3 linked regions of the Struthio camelus genome follow. The protein of the gene in region 1 purifies or fractionates together with the protein of each later gene. This does not show direct contact. Links are inferred from orthologs where the notes say so. Each region holds a gene or a part of one and is shown in the gene's direction. Other genes may lie near its edges.

What was found. The genes of interacting proteins can lie anywhere in the genome.
Region 2: the proteins of HNRNPA1 (region 1) and LRPPRC purify together in Homo sapiens (affinity purification with mass spectrometry; 3 studies listed by BioGRID, with this or other methods). This does not show direct contact. The link is inferred for Struthio camelus from reciprocal best matches to the Homo sapiens genes HNRNPA1 and LRPPRC.
Region 3: the proteins of HNRNPA1 (region 1) and RPS3A purify together in Homo sapiens (affinity purification with mass spectrometry; 3 studies listed by BioGRID and IntAct, counting the BioPlex papers as one, with this or other methods). This does not show direct contact. The link is inferred for Struthio camelus from reciprocal best matches to the Homo sapiens genes HNRNPA1 and RPS3A.

The regions. Positions count from the first base shown.
Region 1 is NC_090969.1:2,899,802-2,907,614, reverse strand, and holds the start of HNRNPA1 (heterogeneous nuclear ribonucleoprotein A1), read left to right. Parts: upstream 1-4,856; 5' UTR 4,857-4,906; coding exon 4,907-4,921; intron 4,922-5,875; coding exon 5,876-5,992; intron 5,993-6,593; coding exon 6,594-6,740; intron 6,741-7,278; coding exon 7,279-7,489; intron 7,490-7,578; coding exon 7,579-7,671; intron 7,672-7,749; coding exon 7,750-7,813. Other genes in the region: CBX5 (chromobox protein homolog 5), read right to left, coding at 1,209-1,359, 1,471-1,568, 1,667-1,853, 2,153-2,331, 4,392-4,856. UniProt on the Homo sapiens protein: Involved in the packaging of pre-mRNA into hnRNP particles, transport of poly(A) mRNA from the nucleus to the cytoplasm and modulation of splice site selection.
Region 2 is NC_090944.1:110,245,728-110,253,815, forward strand, and holds the start of LRPPRC (leucine-rich PPR motif-containing protein, mitochondrial), read left to right. Parts: upstream 1-5,054; 5' UTR 5,055-5,114; coding exon 5,115-5,242; intron 5,243-5,666; exon of another isoform or gene 5,667-5,778; intron 5,779-8,088. UniProt on the Homo sapiens protein: May play a role in RNA metabolism in both nuclei and mitochondria. In the nucleus binds to HNRPA1-associated poly(A) mRNAs and is part of nmRNP complexes at late stages of mRNA maturation which are possibly associated with nuclear mRNA export.
Region 3 is NC_090945.1:37,075,551-37,082,643, forward strand, and holds the start of RPS3A (small ribosomal subunit protein eS1), read left to right. Parts: upstream 1-4,059; 5' UTR 4,060-4,928; coding exon 4,929-5,125; intron 5,126-5,800; coding exon 5,801-5,904; intron 5,905-7,093.

The DNA.
Region 1 (7,813 bases):
GTTCCCCCCCCCCCGCGTCCCCCCCGCCGCCCCCTGACGCCCCCTCTCTCCCCAGCCTGCGGGGGCAGCTGGCGCAGGACGGGCTGCTGGGGGGGCTGCCGGACCCCGAAGCGCCTCCCCCCACCTCCAATGAAGCTGCTTGAGCCCCCCCCCCGGCTGGTGACGCGCCCCGGACGCCTGGGTCCCCAGTGCTGCCCCCCCCACCCCGTGCCTCAGTTTCCCCTTTTGGGGGGGGGGGACTGGGCGCATCCTTTGGGGGCACCGCGGGACACCGGGGCCCGCTCTGGGACACCCTCACCCCGTGTCACACCCCCCCCCCGTCACCCCTCGCAGCACCACCCCCGCCAGGTGGCGCCAGAGACCAAGGCCAGGCAGGGGCCCAGGCGTCCGGGGTGGGGGGGGGCACTGCCTTTCCCACCCCCTGCGGTGCTGGGGGGGGGGCCGGACACCTGGGCCCCATCCTGCTTCCTCGGCGGGGGGGGGGAGCAGGACTCCTGGGTCCCTTCCCTGCAGCCTGGGGTGGGGGGGGACACCACCGTTTGGGGGGGGCCGAGCTGGGGACACTGGGGACACTGGCGGGGGGGGGCCGGTTTCCGCTGCCGAGCACCGAGCGGCGGCTCCTGAAAAGTGACCGTTTATTGGAAGCAAATACCGGGGGGGGGGGGGAGAAGGGGACAACCCAGGGCGGGGGGGGGACAATGAAGTGGCCCAGGGTGGTGGGGGGGGCCCCCGGGGGCTGGGGATGGGGGGGGGGCCCAGTTAAAAACATCAACGGTAGAAAAACAGCAGAGATGGGGGCTGAACCCCCCCCCAACCCCCCTGCCCAGCCCCAGAGCTGGGGTTTGGCCGTGGGGGGGGGGACGGGGGGAACCGTCCTGTCCCCGGGACGGACCCCAAGGCTTTGTCACTGGTCGGGGGGGGCGGGGGGGGCGACGCAGGCACCCACGGGCCCCGCTGGGGGCAAACGGGGGCCGATGGGGTTGGGGGGGGGCATAAGGGGAGACCCCCCCCCCACCACCACCTTCCCCAGGCAGGACCGGCTGCGGGCGCTGCGCCGGGGCGCCCGAGGCCACCGCCGCGGGGACCGGCGGGCGGCAGGGGGATGCGGTTATTTTGGGGGGGGGGGAACGGACGACAACGGGGTTGGGGGGGGGGACGGGCGGCGGGCGGACGGGCTATGTACAGCGGGGGCGCCGCCGGGGGCCGCCTTAGCTCTTGGCCGCCTCGCGCTCTTTGCTCTCGGCGTCCTCGGGGTATGCGTGCCAGGTCAGTCTCTCCTCGTAAAAGGCGATGACGATCTGCGGGCACTTCAGGTTCGCCTCCTTGGCCAGCACCAGGTCGGCCTCGTCCGTGTCCTTCCTGCGGGAGTTGGGGCGGGGGGGGGGGACACAAACACATAACGGGGCGTCATGAGCCGCGTCCCCCCCTGCCCGGTTCGCGTCCCCAACGGCGGGGGGCAGCCGCGCTCACCACTTCATCAGGAACATGAGGTCGCCGCACGAATCCGTGGCGCCGATGATCTTCTCGGGCTCCAGGCCTCGCTCGAAGCCCCGCGCGATGTCGTTGCTCTGCGGACGGACGGGAGGGCGCGAAGGAGGAACGGGGCGCTGGCGGCGCCGCGTTACCCCCAACCCCTCCCGCCCGCCGTCGCCCGGCCTCCGCTCACCTCCCGTTTCTTTTTGGCCTTGATGTCCTCGGCGGCGTGGGGCAGGCCGGATTTCCGCTTGGCGCTCTCCGGTTTCTCGCGCGTTTTGTTGGCGTCGCCTTCCTTCATTTTTTTGTATTTTTTCATAAACTCCGAGATGAGCTCCGGGCAGTCCAAGTTCTTCTCCGGCTCCCAGGTGTTATGTTCCCTGCCAGCGGGAAATTTCAAATAAATGAATGAATGAATGAATGAATGAATAAGTGAATGAATAAGTAAATGAATGAATAAATAAATGAATGAATGAATAAATAAATGAATGAATGAATAAATAAATGAATGAATGAATAAATAGATAAGCAAGCAGTGCTGCTAAACGGCTTTCCGGGCGCCGCGGCTGGGCCTCTCCCCAAGGCTGGGAGAGGCTCTCCCCTGCGCCCAGGGGTGCCCCCCGCCTCCCTCCTCTTCCTCCTCGGCTTGAGCGGAGCCGCGAAGGCAGGGGGCACTTACTCGGAGAAGCCTTTCCACTTGAGCAGGTACTCCACTTGCCCCTTGACGACGCGCCTGTCTAGCACCTTCTCCACCACATACTCCTCCTCGTCTTCCGAGGACGAACTGTCTGCTGTCCGCTTGCTCTTCTTGCCCATAGCGCAGGAGCTCCCGCCGAACGCGCCGACGCCACCCAATTCCTGCCGGCCGGAAGCGAAACGCCGTTCGCCGGACGATCCCCAAAGGCCGGCTCGGGCCGCGCGGGGATTCGCCGGGCGGAGCGAGGCCGACCGGCGCCGCGGTTTGAATCTGGTTTCTCGGCGCGGGCGCCGCAAGGTCTCGAAGCCGCCGCGTACGCGTGATCCCCCCCCTCCCCGCCCACCGCCTCCATCCCGCCCCGGGTGAGCCGAACCGGGGCGTCGGCGTCCCCCGCCGGCAATGCTTCCAAGCTCCCGGGCAAAGAGCTGGGTTTTTAAATCCTCTATTTTTTGTTTTAATGACACAGGAAAAAAAAAAACGGAGCGAGAAGAACCGGAGACGGGAATCAGGAAATTCCTCGTCTCCCCGTCCCCGCTCGGCATTTCCTGCCGCGTGCCGGCGTAGGTCGAGCGGCGACGGAGCCGGCCGGGGGCCGCCGGTTCCCGCGCCAGCCGCCTGTCGGAGCTCGGCCTCCTCCTGCAGGGGCAAAAGGAAAGAGCCGGGTTCATCGGCGCTCGCTCCCCGCCGGGGCGGTTTGATTAAAGGTTTGGCGGCGCGGGGCGGCGGGCGAAGGAGCTCGGCGCCACCCGCTTTCGGTGCGTTTTAGGCTGCTTTTTAAACCAAAAACGGCGGCACCGAAAGCTAGCGGGAAGGGAATCGCCCTCTTCCCCCCGCTCCGCCCCGGCCCTCGAAGCCGCCTTCCAGCCACGCGGTGTTTGGGCCCCGGGATGCGTGTTATCCCCGGGCGATTCAACGCGATGATGTAGATGGGGCAGGGGGAGACCCCGGCAGCCCTGACGCCACGGTGACAGGCCCCTCCGAAATCTCCCAGCGTGGGTCATTCGTGCCATCGATGCCGCGGCGTTCGGAGGCGCTTTCCAGCTCCAAGCCGCGGCCTCGACCCGCGGCAAAGGCGTGCCCAAAGCCGGCCTCAGCCCTAAAACCGCTGATTTTTGGCTCGAAGCAGCTCGGGAGCAAAGGGCGCGGAGCGGGATCCCCGCGAAACCTCCGCGTTGGCGGGCGACGGGGCTCCGCCGCTGCCGCCAAACCCCACGGAGAAAAGCCCCGAGGCCGGGCCGAGGCGGCCGCCCCCTCGCTCCGGCTTGTCCAAACCGGAGAGAAATAACACCAAAGCAGTCGGGCGCTTCCTCCCACCCGATGCGAGACGGGTCTCCTCCGCCGCCCGGAGCCGCCTCTCTCCGGAGCGATTTAAGAGCTGTAAGAAACATAACGGGCGACGGCAGGAGAAGACCCACGGCGCCAGGAGCGGAGCCGAACCTCGGCCCGGCCGCCCCGCACGAGCGCGCTGGGGCCGCCGGTTGTTGCCAAGGCCCCTGGGCTCCGGGCTGAGGCCCGACGCCGCTCAGCGCACGCCAGCCTCGCCGGCCGCCCGGAGCCGCTGCTCGGCGCTGCACATCCACCCGGCGGGGCGGGCCGCGCGCTCCCATTGGCCGCCGCCGCCGCCGCTCACGCCGCGGCCCCGCCCCTCTCGGCCCCGCCCCGCCCGCCTCATTGGCCGCGCCGCCCGTCGCTCGCGGCGCGACCCCGCCCCCTCCGGCCCCGCCCCCCGCGGCGGCGCGGCCCCGCCCCCCGCGCGGCACCATTGGCCCGCGCGGCTGCCAATCAGGCCGGCGGGGCACGCCCCCCCTCCTCGCTCCCTGCCCCCCATTCATTCGGCGCAAGGCGCCGCCGCCACCGGCCCGCCGCCGCCGCCCGCTACCTGGGCACGGAGCAGCTCCGCCGCGGCCCCGTCTCCCCCGCGCCGCCGCCGCCGCGCCGAGCCGCCGCCGCTCCTGCGCACTGCCCGCCGCCCGCCAAAACAGCGCCCTCAGCGCGCAGGCGCCGGCCGCCCCGCGCCGCGCATGCGCCCGCCCCGCCCGGCCCCGCGCCGCGCCGGGCTGCGCATGCGCCGAGCGGAGTCCACCTTGGGCGCCGGCGGGCGGGCGGGCGAGCGTCCTCGCTGCTGCCGCGCGCGCCGGGGGGCTGCGCTGGGGGCGCCGCGCGCCGCCCGGCCCCGCCGCTGCCGCTCCGCCGCGGCCCCGCTCCTGCTGCGCTCGCTGACCTCCGCCGGGCCCGCCGCAGGGGAGCGCTGAGCGACAACCGGCCCCGCCAATGAACACCGCCGGGCTGCTGCGCTAGCCAATGAGAGGGAGGCGCGAGGCGGGACCGCGACCGACGGAGCCAATCCGGGAAGAGCTGGCGAGTCTCCGGGACGAAGCGGGAAAAATCGACGCGCGTCACGGGCGGGGCTTCGGAGGCCTCGTCCAATGCGATAGGCCCTGAGGCGGGACCTCCTCTGCGCTAACCAATCGGCGGCGACAGCGCGGGCGGAGCGGCGCGCCACCACCAATGAGGCCCAACCGCTTTGCCCCGCCGCCCAATGGGAGGCGACGCGGGGGCGCGGCGCGGGCGGCACCGCCCAATGGGAGCGGCCGGGGGGCGGGCGGTCGGCGGGGGCGGCGGAGTGAGGCGGCGGCGCTCTCGTCACTCGGCCCCTTTTTGTGTCGGCGCCTCGCAGAGGGAGCATCGCGCGCGGAGCAGCCCGGCTCGGAGGCCGCCTCTCCCCCCACCGCCGCCATGTCCAAGAACGAGGTAAGCGCCGCGCCGCCCCCGCCCTCCCCCGGGCCGCCGCCGCCGCCCGCCGCCGCCCGCCGCGGCCTCCCCCTCCTGGGCCGCCGCGCTCGGCGGCTGGCGGGCCGCGCGCACTGCGCCTGCGCACCCCGCCTCCCCGCCGCCCTCTGCGCACGCGCGGGCGCCCCCCCCGCCCCTCGCGGCGCGCCGGGGGCCCCCAGCGGCGCATGCGCAGCCGCGCGCGCGCTCCCGCTCTCTCTCTCTCCCCCCCCCCCCAACCCCCCGCCGACCCGCGGCTCCCCGCTCGCGGAGCCACGTGCGCGCCTTTGTGCTCGGGTGGGCTATGGCGGCCGCGCGGCCAGCGCGCATGCGCGGCGCTCAGGTCGGCTCCGGGTTGGGGGGGGGGGGCTCCGCCGGGCCGGGGCTGGGCTGAGCCCGGCCGCCTGCACGGGAGGGGTCGGGGGGGGGCACAGGGGTGACAGGGCCTCGCTTGGGGGCTGGGGAAGCCCCATAGATGGGGCTTGGGGGGTGACAGGGCCTAGTTGCGGCCGGCGCGGCCTTGCAGGCTGGACCTGGGGGGTGACGGGGCTGCCCTGGGGTTGGGACAGGCCGGGGGGGGGGCAGGGAGGGCCCTCGGGATGGGCAGGGTCTTGGTGGGGCCTGGGCAGGCCCACAGGTTCGGTGTGGGGGGGACACGACCTGCCTGGGGCTGGGGACAGGGCTGGGGGGGCCCTGTGCAGGGGGGTGGCGGGGGCAGGACCTGACTGGGGCCTGGGGGGCCCCTTTGTAGGGGAATTAGCAGTGATGGGACCTGTTTGGGCCTAGGGGGGCCTGTGGAGGGGAGTTGGCAGTGATGGGACCTCTGTGGCCCTGGGGGGGGTAGGGGTGTCCCACAGGACAGGTAGGGAGGGCAGCCTGCTGGCAGCAGCACCCCCTGCTCACCCCCCTCCCCGTACCGCTCTTTTCTCCCACCAGTCTCCTAAGGAGCCCGAGCAGCTGCGCAAGCTCTTCATTGGCGGCCTCAGCTTCGAAACAACAGACGAAAGCCTCCGCAGCCACTTCGAGCAATGGGGCGCCCTGACCGACTGCGTGGTAAGGCCTGACCCGCGCCTGCCTGCCTCCTCGCGGGGCTCTGCGCTGCGAGGAGACGTGGTTTGCGTTGGGCTTCTCCGCCAGGCTGAGCGGAGTCAAAGCGGTGCAGGAAGCAGCTGAGCCTCTGTGCAGAGACAAGGGTGGGCAATTGAGTTTCGGCCCTCAGGGGCTCTTGTTGTGACACCTCTGGGGAGACCTGGCTCTCTGGGGCTCTCAGACCGCTGTTAGCCCTGGTGGTGTAATACTGAGGGGCTCGAAGCGTATTTATTTGGGTTAAATGGAAAGTGGTTGCTCTGGGTGGAAGACCTGTCTGCTTGGGCCAGGACCTGCCCGCAGAAGGGAGAGGTGAAGGTGCTGAGGGACAGCGTCAGGATGGAGCAAGCCCCGGCCCCAAAATATCCCCCAGTTTCCCTGAGCTGTGTCATAGGGACACCCTGAGGCAGCGCCAACGTCTCTGCATGCGGCAGCTGGTCCCTGATGGTGTCTTTGAGAAGAGCAGGGTTGGTGCTAACTGGTAACCAGCAGGCTAGGACCCCCGTTTGCTGACGGCTCGTTTAGTACCTGTCGCTGTTCCTTGTCTGACGTGGGTTTGTCCTCCCAGGTGATGCGGGACCCAAACACCAAGCGCTCGCGAGGCTTTGGGTTCGTCACGTATTCCTCAGTCGAAGAGGTCGATGCTGCCATGAACGCCAGGCCACACAAAGTCGACGGCAGAGTTGTTGAACCAAAGAGGGCCGTTTCCAGAGAGGTAGGAACCCGCGTGAGGTGCGGACGCTCTGCGGGGCTGCCAGGAGGCGCTGGGCACCTGACGCAGCCAAACCGTGCCCGTGCGCGCGGTGACCGCCGCGATGTGCCACGTCCTGGTGGTGCCAGGAGCTTTTCTGAGGCTCAGGTGATGCCTCGGGCCGTGGCTCTCCCAGCTAGTCCTGCAGCGGTCAAGAAACGCTTTTGGACCTCACTGTTAAGGGCTGAAGGGACCTGGCTGAGGGTAGAGATGGGGCGTAGAAGGCTCAAGGCTGGCCTTGGGGTGGGTCTGCACGGCCTGGATAAGCGGTAACCAAAGCGGGGCAGAACTGCCAGCTCTTCTAGGCTTAAACACCTCGCTCCGGGCCTGGCTGAGAGGGTAACCGCTTCCGAGTGCTGCTGGATGGCTGGTGACTGAGCGCGAGGGTGAAGGTGCTGAGGACGGAGGCTCCGAAGCCTGTTTTTTTTTCTGCCCGGGAGACCTGGGCGTGCGGTGCTGCCCCGTTTCCGCCCCGTTTCCACCTCACGCGTTGTTCCCGCAGGACTCCCAGCGGCCCGGGGCCCACCTCACAGTCAAGAAGATCTTTGTGGGCGGCATTAAGGAAGACACAGAAGAGCATCACTTGAGAGACTATTTTGGCCAGTATGGCAAAATCGAAGTCATTGAGATCATGACAGACCGCGGCAGCGGCAAAAAGAGGGGCTTCGCTTTCGTCACCTTCGATGACCACGACTCCGTCGACAAGATAGTCAGTAAGTCTGGCTGCGGGGAGGGTGCTGGGGGCGCGGGATGGGCGTCCGGCTTGACGGCAGCGTCCTAAACGCCGTTTCCTTCCCTGCAGTTCAGAAATACCACACTGTGAACGGGCACAACTGCGAGGTGAGGAAAGCCCTCTCGAAGCAGGAAATGGCCAGCGCTTCAGCCAGCCAGAGAGGTGAGCGCTCAAATCTCGCCCCAGCTCCCCGCCGCCCCGAGCTGACGCTAGACGTTACTGTCTGTGCTGTTCCTAAAGGCTGTCCCCCTCCCCCCCCTCTTCTAGGCCGCAGCGGCTCCGGGAACTTCGGCGGGGGCCGCGG
Region 2 (8,088 bases), on another chromosome or scaffold:
GAGTTAGACTCTCTTCCCTGCGACAGAAGGAGTATCTGTATATATACAGACATATATACTGAGAACCACAGAGAACTATATTCATTGTAATCCTTTCGTCTTTTACAGCCTTGGGACTCACCTCTTTCAGAGACTCTACTGCTTCAGCCTGGATTGCATGACTGAGTTGAGGCAAGAGACCAAAGCCTACACTTCCAGTCAGGCTTGGAGGAGAACAAGTCACAGGGAACAGTCACCTTCTGGTTTCCTTGTCATGTCCCCTCAAGAATGCATATTCTTCATACCAGAATCCCAAATCACTGCATTGCCTAAAATCTAAGGTTATCCTTACTCAAAATGTCAGAAATAAAACCAGTATTCATATTAGCAATACAGATATACACATAGCTCACCATCTTCCCAATTCCATGGCCTACCTTCCCCCAAAGTCTCAGGTAAACCCCCCAAATTATTCTCTCCACAGCAAACCTTCCTTGTAGTTCATTTCCCAAGATGAATGCAGCCATTAAATGAATGCTGGGAACCATGTTGCCATTCTCCATTACATAACACAGACCGCACAGTGACTGGATGATGACCTTGGCAGGAGATCGGACGTTTGTATCTTATGGCACTGGTTTCATTTGCACACAGCAGCCTCTAGATGCAGGCCATGTTAACGTAGCCAATGAAAAGAAAACATGCAAAAGTACAGGCAGGACGTTCCCCCCTATGACTGCACCATGTTCTGTGCCTAACTGAAAACCTTTTGTCCTGGAAACTCTAGAAACATCTTCCCCGACAGATTTGACTTCTCCACCAGAAGGTGCAAACAGGTAGAGGGCGCTCTGAAGACCCCTGAGGCAAACGTGGAATAATTTAGCCCTAAATGCACAGCCTGCAAGCAAAGACCGTGTTAGATTTTTTCAAGGGTTAACCTCTCATAAACCTCTTATATAAAGTAATACATATACATGATTCTTGTCACGCTCTTACTCTCTGCCGCGTTGAAACCGCCTAAAGGCAAAAGTCCCAGGCCAATTTTAATTCTCTTGCCCTTATATTTCAGTTACACAAATAATGCAGTAGAGCTGCTGTAGGTCCATTTACACTTCCTCCATTGTTTTGAAGGGATTTTGACACACCTCGAATCACGCACTCCAACAGTTTCTCATGTTCAGATTCAGGAGATGCATTCATAGAGGAATTTTAACTTTGGATTTTCGGATTTTTCTGAATATTTTTGACTATTTTGTACATCTGAGGGTTTATTTGTTCTGGGTTTTGTTTTTGGAACAAAGGAGAGTAGCAGGAAAAAAGTTCTGAATTACTGCATTTATTGTACCTCCTGCTTTGGAAATTTCCATGTCACATTCTAATTAAGGTTTAAAATCATTAAGAATTGTTTACGATAAGGTCTCTATAAGCAGAAACCCTATTCGGACTTAACAATGTACTGGCGGATGCAGAACACATATGTCTGTATGTATCTATCTATTACATTAAACATAACCAGAATCATTCCCTGGCTTTGAAGCCAACTGGAAGAGTTTGGCCACAGTCCTTCCCTTTAAATCTCTTACCCTCCAACACAGCGTGGCCATCTCCAAACTGCCTAAGGGCAACAGTCCCAGGCTGACTGATGCTAATTCCCTAAACTTCGCCCAGCAGTTGCGTGGCATGGGCCAAAACTTTTTCAGAGACTAGGAATTTAACAGTACAGAAACATCTCTGAAGTCCAGATATGTTCCCTGGCACTGCTAAATTATCTGTGGGAATAGTCTCCTGGGAATTATTCTCCCTAGGAATAGATTCCCTGGGGTCAATCAGGCCAGGCCAAGAATCTTGGAAGATCTGGGCTGTTTGGAGAAAGGAAAAAACAGAAAGTCAGCAGAGGATTTATTTTGCTTCTCTGGGGCTTTGTGTTAATTCTTTCTTTGGTACTGAGACCAACAAACCAGTTTCCCCTGGACTACTCCCTTTTTCTGGTCCCTTGTCCGCCCCACATCCTTCTTTCCCCTCTCTTAGCATAGACTCATTCACACCATCCCTGACTTTTCAACTGTCTCTTACACAGCTGAGCACAACTGATTTCTGGTAGCTTTTTCTTCCTTGGCTTCTATGACTCCTCCTTTTCCTTATTTCACCTTTTGCAACCTAAAAGTTCCTTAAGAGGATCTTTGGATGAGTATCTTCCTCCTCCTCTTTGGGTGTATTTGTGTTTTCGCCCTTTTCTGCTCTACATCCCCTTATCTCTGGATAATCTTTCCTACAAATATAGCTACTAACCCTGTGCTGAGGCCCAAGAGGTCTATCTCAAACTTTCTGTCTAAACTAAAATCCTGGTGCCTCATTCACATCTCATGTATGACACATCAACTCAAGCTTAGCATGGCCAAAATAAACTTTCACTCTCTACCTAATAACGTCTCTTTCTCAACTACTACTGATTATTCCACCACTCAGCGCTTTCTCTAGATTCTCACATACATACAAGTGCTAACCATTTTTCTCCTTGAATAATGTGTCTAATACACAACCTTCCGTCTTCATCCACAGAATTAAAACTCTCAGCAAGGCTCTAACAATTACGTTTCAATTACTGATTAAAACTTTGTCTTTTCCAGATCTTGATAGCGCAAACTAGACCCTCATCCATTCAGAGAGCTTCAGCAAATATAACACCTAAGTCTACTGCTTCAGGTATATCACATCTTGAATTAATTCCTCAGGGACTCCTTTCCTTTTCATTAGCAAGCAAAACAGCTGTCTTCACTTCTAAAACAGAACCCTGTCTATGACTTACCACTTGGGAGTGAAGAGTCAGCTCTTCTCTGAGCAGCTCATCATTTCAGATCCTGTGATCTACTTACTAGATTTTCAGACAAACACCTTTGGGTCTTCTCTGCCCTTTGGAAGAGTTCTGTCTCCTTTAAAACAGTTCTTAAAACTGTCCTTTACTGATTCAGTAACAGTGAGGTCTGAGCAACAGAAGCCTACTATTTATTATGCTGATCAATTATTATCAGCATTATTAATAATCATGTTATGTCACCATTTCCCTTTTCTTCTCTATCCTTTTGCTTTATCTTTCCTTAGCTTTCTTATCAGCATCAGAGACATGCGTTTTAATAGCTCCTAGCATAGTGGGGCTCTACTCCACATCTAAGTTTGGTAAGTAAGTTCCTATATCATCCTAATAATTAGCATGTATGTTACTAGCTTTGCATTTAAGTTAAGAAATTCATCTTGGACTCCGCTATTCATACTAAAGTGTGTGCTGTGTGAAATATCGTAACATCGTGATAAAGCAGAACCCATGAAAAGCAGTAACCTTACAAATATTGTAATATTAGCTTTATTTCATGACCTAAGGCTTGACTACGACAAGTATTGAGCACCCAGAACTTTTTTTTTATAAATAGCAAAAGCAGATGTTCACAAGTTCTAAAAACTGTGCTCTTCACATTTTGATGTCCTCAGGACTTCACACGTCTTACCAAATAAACTGTAATAGAAAATGACTGATTGTAATTGACTTGATAAATTCAATCTCAGTTTGATGAGCAATCTGCCCCCTGGAGTAGTTATGCGCAGTCTACTGCAAAAATAATTAGATGTTTTTGTATAAAAACATTTACTTAACTTAGAAGTACCTACCTAATTTGATGTTGTATAATTATGTCTTAGTACCCAGCTTTAACTTGCACATTAGTACAAAATTACAACGCACAGAACATCTTAGTAAACATGATCAGGCAGAGATTTACAGTTATAAAAAGTTTTTAAATCAAGGTTCTTCCCCCCACAACCCATAACGCCAGTCTTTTCCAGAAGGAAAGAGAGTAGGAGAGGAGATTTCAGAGGCTCTTCGCTTCTGCTCTTTCAACACAAAAATCCAGTCAGTGCATGTCACTGCAGTAAAGACTGACAGCCACTGGTGGCTTTCACAGCCAAACTATGCAAGTGCAACTTTCTTAAAACAAAAAGTACAAATCAACTAATAGCTGAGTTCAGATGGAGCTCTTCCTATTAGCGACAAAAAGAAGCCAAGTTTCTTTCTCACGTTTGTATGCTGCTTGTCATAGGTAGTACATATGCATCCAGTAGAGTGTCAGAGACGTACATTACAGTGCCTGAAATAACCCACTGAAAATTGGTGACAGCTCCATCCCGCCTGAAATCCTGAACTTGCGGGGAACTACAGAAAACGCTTCCTCTCTCTCAAGAGAGCCCAAAGTGGGTAAAACCAGCCGAGACAGCTCGGCTGGCGGCAGCAGCGCCAGGCAGGAGCCACTGCCCTTAACCTCCCCCCACAGGGCTCTAGAACAGAAGCGCCGACACCTGAGGGCAGACGAGGCCGGCCGGCCCGGGCTGGGAGCCAGCGCCGAGGCGGTTCGCCCTGAGCCCTCAGAGGCACTAACCTCGCGTGTCCCGTCCCGCCCGGCCCGGCCCGGCGGTAGCGGTGCGCGCCCAACGGCAGCGCGCAACGGCCCTTCGCGGCCCCCAGAACCTCCTGCGCGCTCGCGCAGCCACCCACGACACAGGAAGACGCAGCTCGCGCACTGCTCCCCCCCCCCCCCACGTGACTTCCGGCTCCTGGCGGGGGCGGGCCGACGCTTACCTAGCTGGGAGACCCTCTCGGGGCCAACCGTTATCTAGCGCGGAATTGCCTGAGGGACGCTTAGAATAAGGCCCGACTCCCGAGAGAGGCACGACATTGTCCTCGCCTTCCCCGGCTCAGAAGCGCAGCGAGACGCAGACTTTGCCTCCGAGACCTGGCTTTACCCCTTTATGGGCTAAAGGGACATGGCCGACAGGCTTTAGATGGAGCAACTCCGGGTTGGTTTTTGATCGACCCACTCCCAGGGTGACGAGCGGCAGCGCCGACCTTGCTTGGAATGTTCCATCAGTGGCATAGGGGGGATTGCAAAGCTCCCCAGTGCCGTCAGCGGGCCAGGTTCTAGTCGGGCCCAGAGGCCCTCCCCTGAGGGAATGGTTTTCCCCAGCACGTCGGCCGGCAGAGGCGGAGCGCCACCCGCCACCACCCTCCCCCGGGCCCGGGTGCGCACGCGCAGTAGCGGCGGCGGCCGGCTCACGTGCTCCTCCGAGTGCGGCGCGCGCGCGCGGAGGTCATGGCCGCGCTGCTGAGCTCCGCCGGGCGCCTCCGGGCGCTCTGCCCGCGCCTCCTGCCCCTCCTCCGCCCGCCGGCGGCAGCCGCCGCGCGCCCCCCGGCCCGGGGCGCCGCCCCACCCCCCGGCAGGTGAGACCCGGCTCCGCGGCGCTGCCCCGCAGCAGCTGAGGCGGGGGCGGCGCGCAAGGGCGCGGCCGCCGGGGCCGCCTCGCGCCCCGGTGGCCGTTGGCCCGCGGCCGTTGGCCCGTCCGGCGCCTCGCTTCCCGGGCTGCGGGGTGAGGCGGGGGGCGGGGGGACCCTGCGGGGCCGGCCCGGCGGCGGCGGCGGCCTCTCGCCACGTGTGAGCAGGGTGAGCTCAGGGTCGAAGGGCGCGGGGAGCGCAACTGCTCTTCTCCAGCGCCGCCAAAGGCGGAGCGCCCCTTCCCTCGCTTTGTCTTACAGTGTTGTCCCTTGTGACTTACGCGAGAGCACGCTGTTTCTTTTCCTCTGTGAAGAGGAAGAGGCAAGTCTTCTTCCAGGCCGTGTAATTATACGTGGGACAAGCTGTGGAGATGGGGCGTCAAGGAGGAAGGGAGAGACGAGGCTGGGCAACGCAGTAGTTTACTCCAAGTAACTAAGCAGTTGGATTCGGCGCTTTCTTGCCCTTGTCCATCAGACCTGGCTGGGTCAGTTATCAGGAGGAGTAGCTTAATTTCGTTTATGTGTTTTCCTCTCTTCCGTCACACCATGGAGTGCCTGCCCTGGCCGCACTCCCGTTCCTGTTCTGAGTACGCTAATACCTCGTTGGTGCCTTGCAGGAAGTTTTGAGGCACAGCTTTTCCTTAAGATGAGTGTACTGGTTTTGTACAAATCAGTCATTAAAGCAGGAAATAGAGAGAAAGTGAAAGTGTGGGGTAATGATGTCACATGTCTGTCTTTCTGTGACTTTGTAGGACCCAAGGAGTATGATAGGGTTGAATCAGAGCGTTACAGTGTTCTCTTTTTAGTTTTGGGAGAGCTAAGCTTTCTTTCCAGTGGTGGTTAAATGCAGCTTAGGAGCTGGGAAATTTTTTTGTCTGGAGCATTCATCTTCAGGACATGGAAATGCATAAGGCTCAACCCTGAACGTGCCAGAGCTGCATAAATTTTTTAGCTCTTTTTATGCACTGATTTTTCTAAAAGATGATGTTAGTTATAGCATTCTCTCTTTTAGGTAGGCTAGTTGTTTCTGTAGTTCCGTCAATTACTTTTGTTAAGGATATTTACCTTGTGCAGTTGATAGGTACGTAAAAGGCTTTGAGTCGTGTTTACCTTTCATATTTTATATAGTTAGGATGCTGTCAGAACTACATGAAGACTTAAGTTATTTTATTTTAGGGATTATTTTATTGTCAGCACGTTCTCAAACTGCGTGTGAATGGGAAAGGTTTGCTCATGATTTCTGATCCTTGACGAGATTAGATTTTGATTTCCATCACGTTCTATTTCTATGTCTGCAAAATATAAAGTTGGGAATGGTTTGAGATGCTTTAGCTTTCGTTTATGGAAAATGACTTACTGTAATTATAATTACAATTGTTAAATATAAATAATAAAACAAATAATAAAAACAAATATTTATATTTTATAGATTACAACCATGTAGTTAAAGAGGAGTTTAGATCTCTTTCCTCCAAGGATATGATTATTTGCTTTATTTCTTGCAGCATGTGTAAAACCTGGTGAGGAACCAGTTCAGTTAGGTAGGAAAGGGATATGGTGCTTTTACTGTTTAGTGCTGTCACCTTACAAACTGTTCTGATAGTAGCTGATATCTCTGTTAGATGTGAAGTGCAAAGGCACAAATAGCTGAGAGCTTGATATTCATCTAGTTAAATATCCAAGTCATGTTATAGACAAATTTTTGCATAAAATCTAAGAATCTAAAAGCGTCAGGCACGCACACTCAGTCTTATGAGATTGAGTGTGTGAGTAGCAATGTAGTGCTACTCAAAGGAGGAAGTTTTTCTGTCCTGTTTCACACTTGGCTTGTTATTAGTTCTGGTGGTCCCTCTGAGTCAGTGTGACTCAGAGGTGGAGTGACAGAAAAGCAGCTCACTCAGAAAAGCTAAACAGTTTTCTACCATTCTAGATAGGTCCTTTGCTAAACAAATTTATCTAGTGAGCTCCAGAGCTGGCTCAGGAGGAGTAGTAGGAAGAAAAGAGCAACGGAAAGGGGAAAGTAAAATCTCCTAGAGGGGAGGTCTTAGCTCTCCCCAAATAGGCAGATTACTGCTACTTATCCCCTTTGCACCAACACTGAGGCTTATCAAACCTGTAGTTGATTTGTTTGAGTAACCTGATAGAAAACCAACTCAGAGCGCAAAAAAAAAAAAAAAAAGTTTTCTGTTGTTTTTAGTGATTAAAGTAAAACAGATCTTTAAATACTAGAGTAGGTGGGAGGAATAGAGTTGGAGTAGAACTTGTGAAGGAAGGAACAGGGAACCCAGAAGAGATATGCTCTATGGTTACCAACAGAGCTACAAATTTAGTCTTAAATAGACTTTTGTACCTTGTGCCGTTTCAGCTGATTTTTTTTTTTTTCCTCTAATGGAAGCAGCATTTCATAAAATAGTTTGTTGCAAGAAGTAGTGTTCGCAAAATGCATGCATGATTTGATGAGGGAGTAGCAGCACTTGCTAGGATTGTATTTCTGGAAAGAACTTGGAAAAGTGCTTTATACAGTGTTATTTTCCGACTTTAGCAGCTGATCTTTTTCCACAAGTGTTACCTTTTTGCTTCCAGTTATACTCTGCTAAGTTTTCATGCGTAAAAGGAGTCACATGGGATCGTTTAGGGATCTTGCTGACGACTTTAATGTTCAGGCTAGATTAAGTATGATTAAAAAAGAATTATACTTAGAGAAATAGATGTTTGATAGAGAATATGTTCATAGAAACAGCAGTTATGTCTTTCATTGTTCTCAGGTTGCAGTCTAATCTGTGTTTTATATTGGG
Region 3 (7,093 bases), on another chromosome or scaffold:
CTGATGGCAAAGGTCAGTAGCGTCTGGTGGCAGAGATGGAGGTCCAAAACCGTTCAGTTGTTTCATGGGTAATGGAGAAAGCTGGAGAAGGAGACATAGATGTTGCTTTGTATACGTTTCCAAAGATTTATAGGGAGCTGGATTTTGATCTTGGCATTAGGAAACTGCATCTATTCCTAGGTTGGGGTGGTAACCCTTTAGGAGGCAAATAAATACACCCTTTTTTTCCAAAATTCGCTTTCCACAAAGCCCTCCTGTTACGGGCTAGAGATGCTAGACCGTTGTAATTAAAGTGAGAACTTCTTCCCACATACTGAGCTGGCAGCAGCTAGATTCCTGAAGAAAGCAACTTTATTTATGATGCTAGCAATAAAATACCTTATAATAAAAGATTGTAAACAATCTTAACTCTCACTTACTGAGTGTTTACTTAGAGGCAATCTTTAGGATTGCTATGTGTAATTTTCTCATTGTGAGAAATATTTTTTTTTACTCGTATAAATATAAAACTTTTTCAGTGGAAAGGATGCCATTTTCTTCAGCTTATTTTTGCCTTTTTTCCCTCTCTTCTGCTCCTATTTGAAATATCTGAAGTACTGATTTAGTTACAAGGCAATTTCAAGGCTCTGGAAATGCCTGAGCTCCGCACTGTATCTGAACCAGAGAACAATACAAATGACTCCTGGTATTTCCTAGAAATGGCTGATTTTTGGAGAAATTTTCTTGCTCAGCTAACAACAAAGGAACAAAGACCCTTGGAGCACTGCTCAACAGTAAGTGTATATATATGGTTTCGCGGGATGCTGGCTTGTATTTGTGGTAGCCAGCTACACTTAAGAAAAATTAGGGCAAAATGCTGCTCCAAGCACAGGACTCTGAAAGGAAGCTGTGGGGTTATCCACAAAAGAAATAAACTGGCAAGAACAGCATCTAGTACCTTTTTTTTTTTTTTTTTCTTGAAAGACTAACACAATGTTGGAGGAGATAAACATTTTGTCATCTTCTGAACTTAAAACCTAAGGGAAGTTGGCTCCAGTTACTATATTTCCATGACCCAAATCCATTAGAGTGGAATTCCTTACATATATCTTTGTTTGTTTAAATGTGTCCTTTTCTAGCATAAGCATAACTGCTCAGGTTAAATACAATTAATTTAATCTGTGATCCCAAGAGGTATATTGATACATGTTCCTTGAACATACAGGTACCAGGACTATGCCCATTTTCTTTTCACTGATGAATGACACTAATAACTGGACCTACTTCCTAGGGATGACACAAGGGGAAACTTTGCAGAGCATGGTTGATTTTTTTTTTTTTTTTTTTTTTTTTTGGGGGGGGCGGGGGGGGAGAGACTCAAGAGCAGTCCTGTGTGTTGACTATTTCAGTTGTGCAAGATGGTTGGAGGGGAAAGGCAGCAAGATAACATGTAACAAGCCTGGTTGGAATGCCTCTTGATTCATTTTGGTAATCTTGGTACCTCTGCTTCTTCCTAGGTTCTTCAGGAAGATGTATGGAATTAGGGTATAAAATTGCAGAGAAAAATGTGGGATTTTTTTTGTCTTTGTGCATTTCTTGTGGGAATGGATGCTGAAGAACCAGAATGACAATAAGGAAAAAGGAAGTGTGTTCTACTAGCTACAACAACAACCTATTTCATGTGAGTGGGATTCTGAAAACTCTTCAATAGTATATAAGAACATCAAAAATAACTATAAAAGGTGCTGTCTTCATAACTGTAGTGGTTATTGTGCAATATTTAATACTATATTAGTTAGAATCCATTATCAGTTCAGTGTTTCATAGATGGTAAAGCCATTGATTAATGGCAATCAGTCACCATTAATATCTTAACTTTGAGAAGACCTAGCTTGTGTGCAATAAAGCTATATTGGGGCCGGGGGGTGGGGAGAGGGTTATCATCCCCAACTGGGAAGTCTCTTAACAGCAAAGCTTGATTAGAATTAACTACTCTCTGATATCCATATTTAGAAAGTTTTGCCACTTCCAAGAAATAGAGCAAGCCAACTTCATTCAGTTATCACGCTCAACAGGGAAGTGACTAAAAAAGGAAAGAAAAAAAGCCACATCAGGTCCTTCAGCTTAGTTAGAGAACTGCAGGCAGAGTTCTGTAGTTTGAGAACTAGAAAGGAAGGAGAGGAAGGTGAATTCGTCTGTTCACTGCAAAGAAGGTAGGAAGGAAGGGTGAAAAATGCCTCCTGGAGACACAGTTAATAACAGATAGACAATCTGTTCTGTTTTGACAGCCTACCTATGGAGACAAAGAAATTCTGTTGAGAGAGAGAACCAAACCCAACTTCCTGTGTGGCAAAGTTTGGAATCATAGAAAAAGTTAGGATGTGAGGAGCTTTGGAGGTTGTCCGGTCTGACCCCCTGCACAATACAGGGCTAACTTCAAAGTTAGATCAGTCTTAATGCCTATTTCCTGCTGAAGTTTTTCTGTCTTTACACAGTTTCTATGTAAAAGCAGAGAAGAGGAGAGGGGAAAAAAAAAAAAAGCCTTTAACTGCTAGAGGCCTTTGAAGTATTTGCTCAGCTTTCCAGTTATCCTTTTGAAATGCTGGATGGTAGCATCTGGCAGAAGTGCTAGGCTGATTACATCAGATTCATTATGACTTTATTTCCAGCAGAAATAAAGAACCTTTCTAAGGTTCTTGCTGGGCACCTCTCCTGATTTTTTTTTTTTTTTTTTGGTGTTTCCACCCTGCAGATCACTTCCCTTTTCAGCTGGTTCCAAACTCATTTAGGAGGGGAGTATCAAGACAATAAAATCCCTGATGTTGGTACATGGAGGAGCCTTAGAGCTTAGGAAGCCTTCAGTTACTGTCCTGGGCAAAAGCAAAGGGCAGTTACTGTCAGGTAAACAGGCTGGTTGTGGTATCTGATTGAGAAACTACTAGGAAATCCAAAAAGTTCTCCTCAGAAGATATGTAGTTTCAGGAGCTATAAGAGGTATTTTATTTGTGCAAGTGAGATTTTTAAAGTTAACTCTGTCTGCTGCAGGGAATCCTAATTAATAATGTGCCAACAAAGCAGATCAGTTGAGATGAGGCTTTTGCAGCTCTGCAGCCTGGAGAAGGAGACTGCAGCTTGTCATGGCTGGCGTCCCTTTACCCTGCCATTCAGGAGAAAAATATGAAGATTTCTTTTCTTCAAGTCTGATCACCTAGGAGGTAGTGAGCAGGAGCTCTGCTCTTGTCTGATTATGTTCTCAGTCTGATAGTGTGAGTTACTGATGGATTCCAGTTGCTTTAGGCATGCAGATGAAATTCCAGGCTGGTGTGAAAGAAATTGATGAAGTAATCAGAACTGTGCCTGTGGCTCCGGTTTCATTTGTAAAATGTAACAGATGGTGTTTGTGTGGCTGACAACTGCCTCTTTCCAAGTGCAAGATTTTTATTACCCTGAACATGTTTTAACTGGCAAGTTCAAACAGATTCAGAAGCCCCGAACAGTTCATGCCCCAGCCTCAGACCCGTGCTGCAGGCAAGCAGCTGTAACACTGGAAGGGGATAGAGCCAGGATCTGCCACCATGCCCAAGGCTCCCCACGCTTCTAGTCTGGCACACCAGTTGTCAGGCAGCCTGTTAGTTTAATCTGCAATCTGCTGAGCACCTGTGCCCAGCATGCAAGCACCCAGAGTGGGAGGCAGCCTACGCTGCAGCTGGTGTCAGTGTACTGTGTATGTAGCGATGGAAGCACCAGGCTGCAGCTTAGCATTACAGGCTCTTCCCACCATGTAACTCGATTTGCTTTTTTATGCCCTTGGCATGTGACTCAAGTTGATGAGTGAAAGAACGTGAAAGCAGCAACAAGTAATTGGAGAGCTGAACTTGGAATGCTTTGAGTAGGTGTTTGGATGCTTCTCTTACAAAGCAAACTACTATGAAACGCAGCCTGAACTTCTCACAGTATTATTCTGCTTGCAACACTTTTATCTAAAAGGATTTCCTGTGTCTGGGATGTGGGAATCATATGATGTCAATACTTAATTATATTCTGGGTTGTGTGTGGTGTTGTTTTTTTTTTTTTTACGAGTTTTGCCATGATTATGAAGAGTAATTTGTAATGATCTCTGAACTAAGTATGTAGAAGACATACAGCAGCATTTGTCCGTGTCTGTAAGAAGCATGACAAACACCTGGAAAGTATGAGCTACAATTTAAGTTGATTAATCATGATGAAGCTGGAAGGGGTCAGTAAGACTATCTAACCTGATCTCGCACAGAACTCAAACTACAAGACTTTTCTGAATAAACTCCCATTTGAGCCATACCTAAATACCTACCATGAGGAAAAAAATACCTGTTATCAATTTAGAAATGCCTGGGGAGGGGAAAGGGAACTGACAGTCTCTTAAGTTTTCTCCAAAGTCTGATTATGCTCGTTTTTGAAAAATATATGCCTTATTTCTAATAAGCATTCACATACTGTGAATATCCACAGTTGTTGGATCTCACGTAGCCTATCAACCAAAGACAAGAGAGCCTTTTATGGTCACGTTTCTCTTCCCCATGTAGGTACTTAATGACACAGTTTTATTTCCTCTTTCTAGAGGTTTGTAAAGCGCCCACAGAATTTTTGAGTCTGAGGGGTTTTAGTTGCTGGCAAAACTACTCCCCGGCCTTTTCGTCGCCTCCAGGTTACTCTTCAGCCACGGGCGCTGAGCTCTAGCGGCCGCTCCGCGGCCGTTCACCTCCGGCAGCGCCTGACACCACCTTACCGAATCTTTCTGAGGGTAGCTGGCAGCTGAAGCCTCCCTTCTTACAAGGCACACAGCACCGTCACCGGAGACCCCCGGCCCGAGCCAATCTGGGGTTTTTGTGTCTCGTTCCCCTTCTCCCCCCCCCCCCCCGCCTTCCCCCCGGCGCCCGGAAGTCCCCTCGCGCCCGCTGCCCCGCGCCGTGATGGCGGCCGTGATCTCGCGAGAGGCCCGCCGGTCTCGCGAGATCGGCGCAGCCGGAGCTCTCGCGCGAGCGCCGCTCTCGTATAATCTCGCGCGAGGAGGAGGCGCCGGCCCTTTCCGTCGGCGGGGCGGCACCATGGCGGTCGGCAAGAACAAGCGCCTCACCAAAGGCGGCAAGAAGGGCGCCAAGAAGAAAGTGTACGGCGGGCCGGCGGGGCGCCGCGCCGGGGCCTGGGCCGGGGGGGCGGCGCCGCGGCGCCGGGATGCCGCGGATGCGGGGCGGATGGCGGCGGCGGCAGCGGGCCGCGGCGGCGGCGGCTGTCATGGCGGCGGGGCCCGGTGGCCGTTGGGGCGGGGGCGGGGGTGCCGCGCAGGGCCCGGGCTGGAGGCGGCCGGCGGCGCGGGGCTGGGAACGGAGCGGAGCTGGGCGGCTGCAACAGCGAGGCCGCTCAGAGGCCCGGGGCGGGTTGGTTTTTATCCCTAGTGCGAGTCAAGTCTCGCGCTTACAGGGTCTTTAAGTGTAAAGCGAGGCCTCAGCAGAAGGATTGAAATACACTGCTTGTTTTATCAAAAAATGACAGGCCACACTGCAGCGCGGTATTGCTTTTTGACGTTCTAGCCCTGTGATGCTTCTGAAGTTGGTTTCCTTCTTTCTGAAGTACACCGGCATTTGTGTGCGCTTCGTTTGTGTGCGAAGTACAGTGTTCACTGTATGCGTTCATGCACCTGTTAACCTGTCCATCTTAAACGTGGAAACACAGCGTTTTGAAATTTGCGTTTCCATGTCACAAAGCGTATGGGGAGAAGTACTTGCTTCAGCCAGGTTTAATCTGAAAAATGAGTGAAAATCTTTTCTCCTTCATTTAAATTAAGGGTTGATCCCTTCTCCAAAAAGGACTGGTATGATGTCAAAGCACCAGCAATGTTTAATATCCGAAACATTGGGAAGACACTTGTCACCAGGACTCAAGGAACTAGTGAGTAGTGGAGTTTTATGCAGTAGATGGCTGTCTGTTTGTTCCATGTGATAGTACTAAATGACAATCAGGTGAAGAAATGGTGACAAGTAATTCTTGTTTGTAATAGTATAAGGTAACCTAAAATAAAAAAAAGAAAGAGTTCCAACTTAATTGCTTGATTCCAGTGATCTTTATTCAGTTGACAGAGTTTAAACCAATGGGCTTGGTTGCAATGATATGAAGAGAGGAGCTAATGCGGTGGGGCCCTTGTTTGCACAAGGGTACTAAAGTATAGAAATGGTACAGAAAGACATATCTGAAGTTTCTAATAGTTATTGGGGTATCTTAAAGAAGTTGAGAAAAGTTAAGAATTAAGGAATTATTCTGAATATCTGAGACAGAGATGTGGAGACTGTTACAGGAGACTGTGATCTTAATGGGATCGTAGAGGCTTTCCCTTTGGAAGCGACCAAGATTGGAAGCCTTTATGCCAGAGATCTTTGTTGTGTGTGGAATCCCAAACGTAATGGGAGCATGTGTAAACTTACCACTGAAAAGGTTTTTTCCTCTTACATGTAGTCCGAGGTACGGTAACGCTTAGTAGTTTAGTAGGGAAAGGAACCTTCTGTTAATGCAGCGTGATCTAGAGAGAGGTGTAACATGGTGTTCTTGGATGATTAGCCATGAGGTATGGCTGAAAACTTGCATTTTTCTCTCCCAGTTGCATTGTAAGGTATGCAGATTCTCAGTGCTGTTTTAAACTATGCATATGAAACGAGTAAAATTAGGGTCACCGCAAACAGACTGTCTGAGTCAGCTAATATTAAAACGGTACATTGCTCACAGGCAGAGCTGTGAAATGACTTTATCTCTGAGTATGCATTGCTTTATACGTTTATCTTTTCATTATTGTATCTCAAAATACTTTGCAACCTCTCCCCCCCCCCCTTTTTAAACTATTACAAATGCTAGAATTTACACCATATTGGTGTTTGTGTTTAGCCTCTGACTCAAAAGACTCCTCACAAAGTTAGCAAAACAAGATATTCACTTCTTTAAGTTGATTTGTTTGTGTTTAAGGTGCATGCCAACTTCAGAGTTACAAAGATAGTGTCGTTACCTAATATTAGAACACATCAAACGGAAGTTCAGCATCTGAGTTGAATAATACTTTTCTAAGTGTAGTAAAAGGTATTTTATTTTGTTT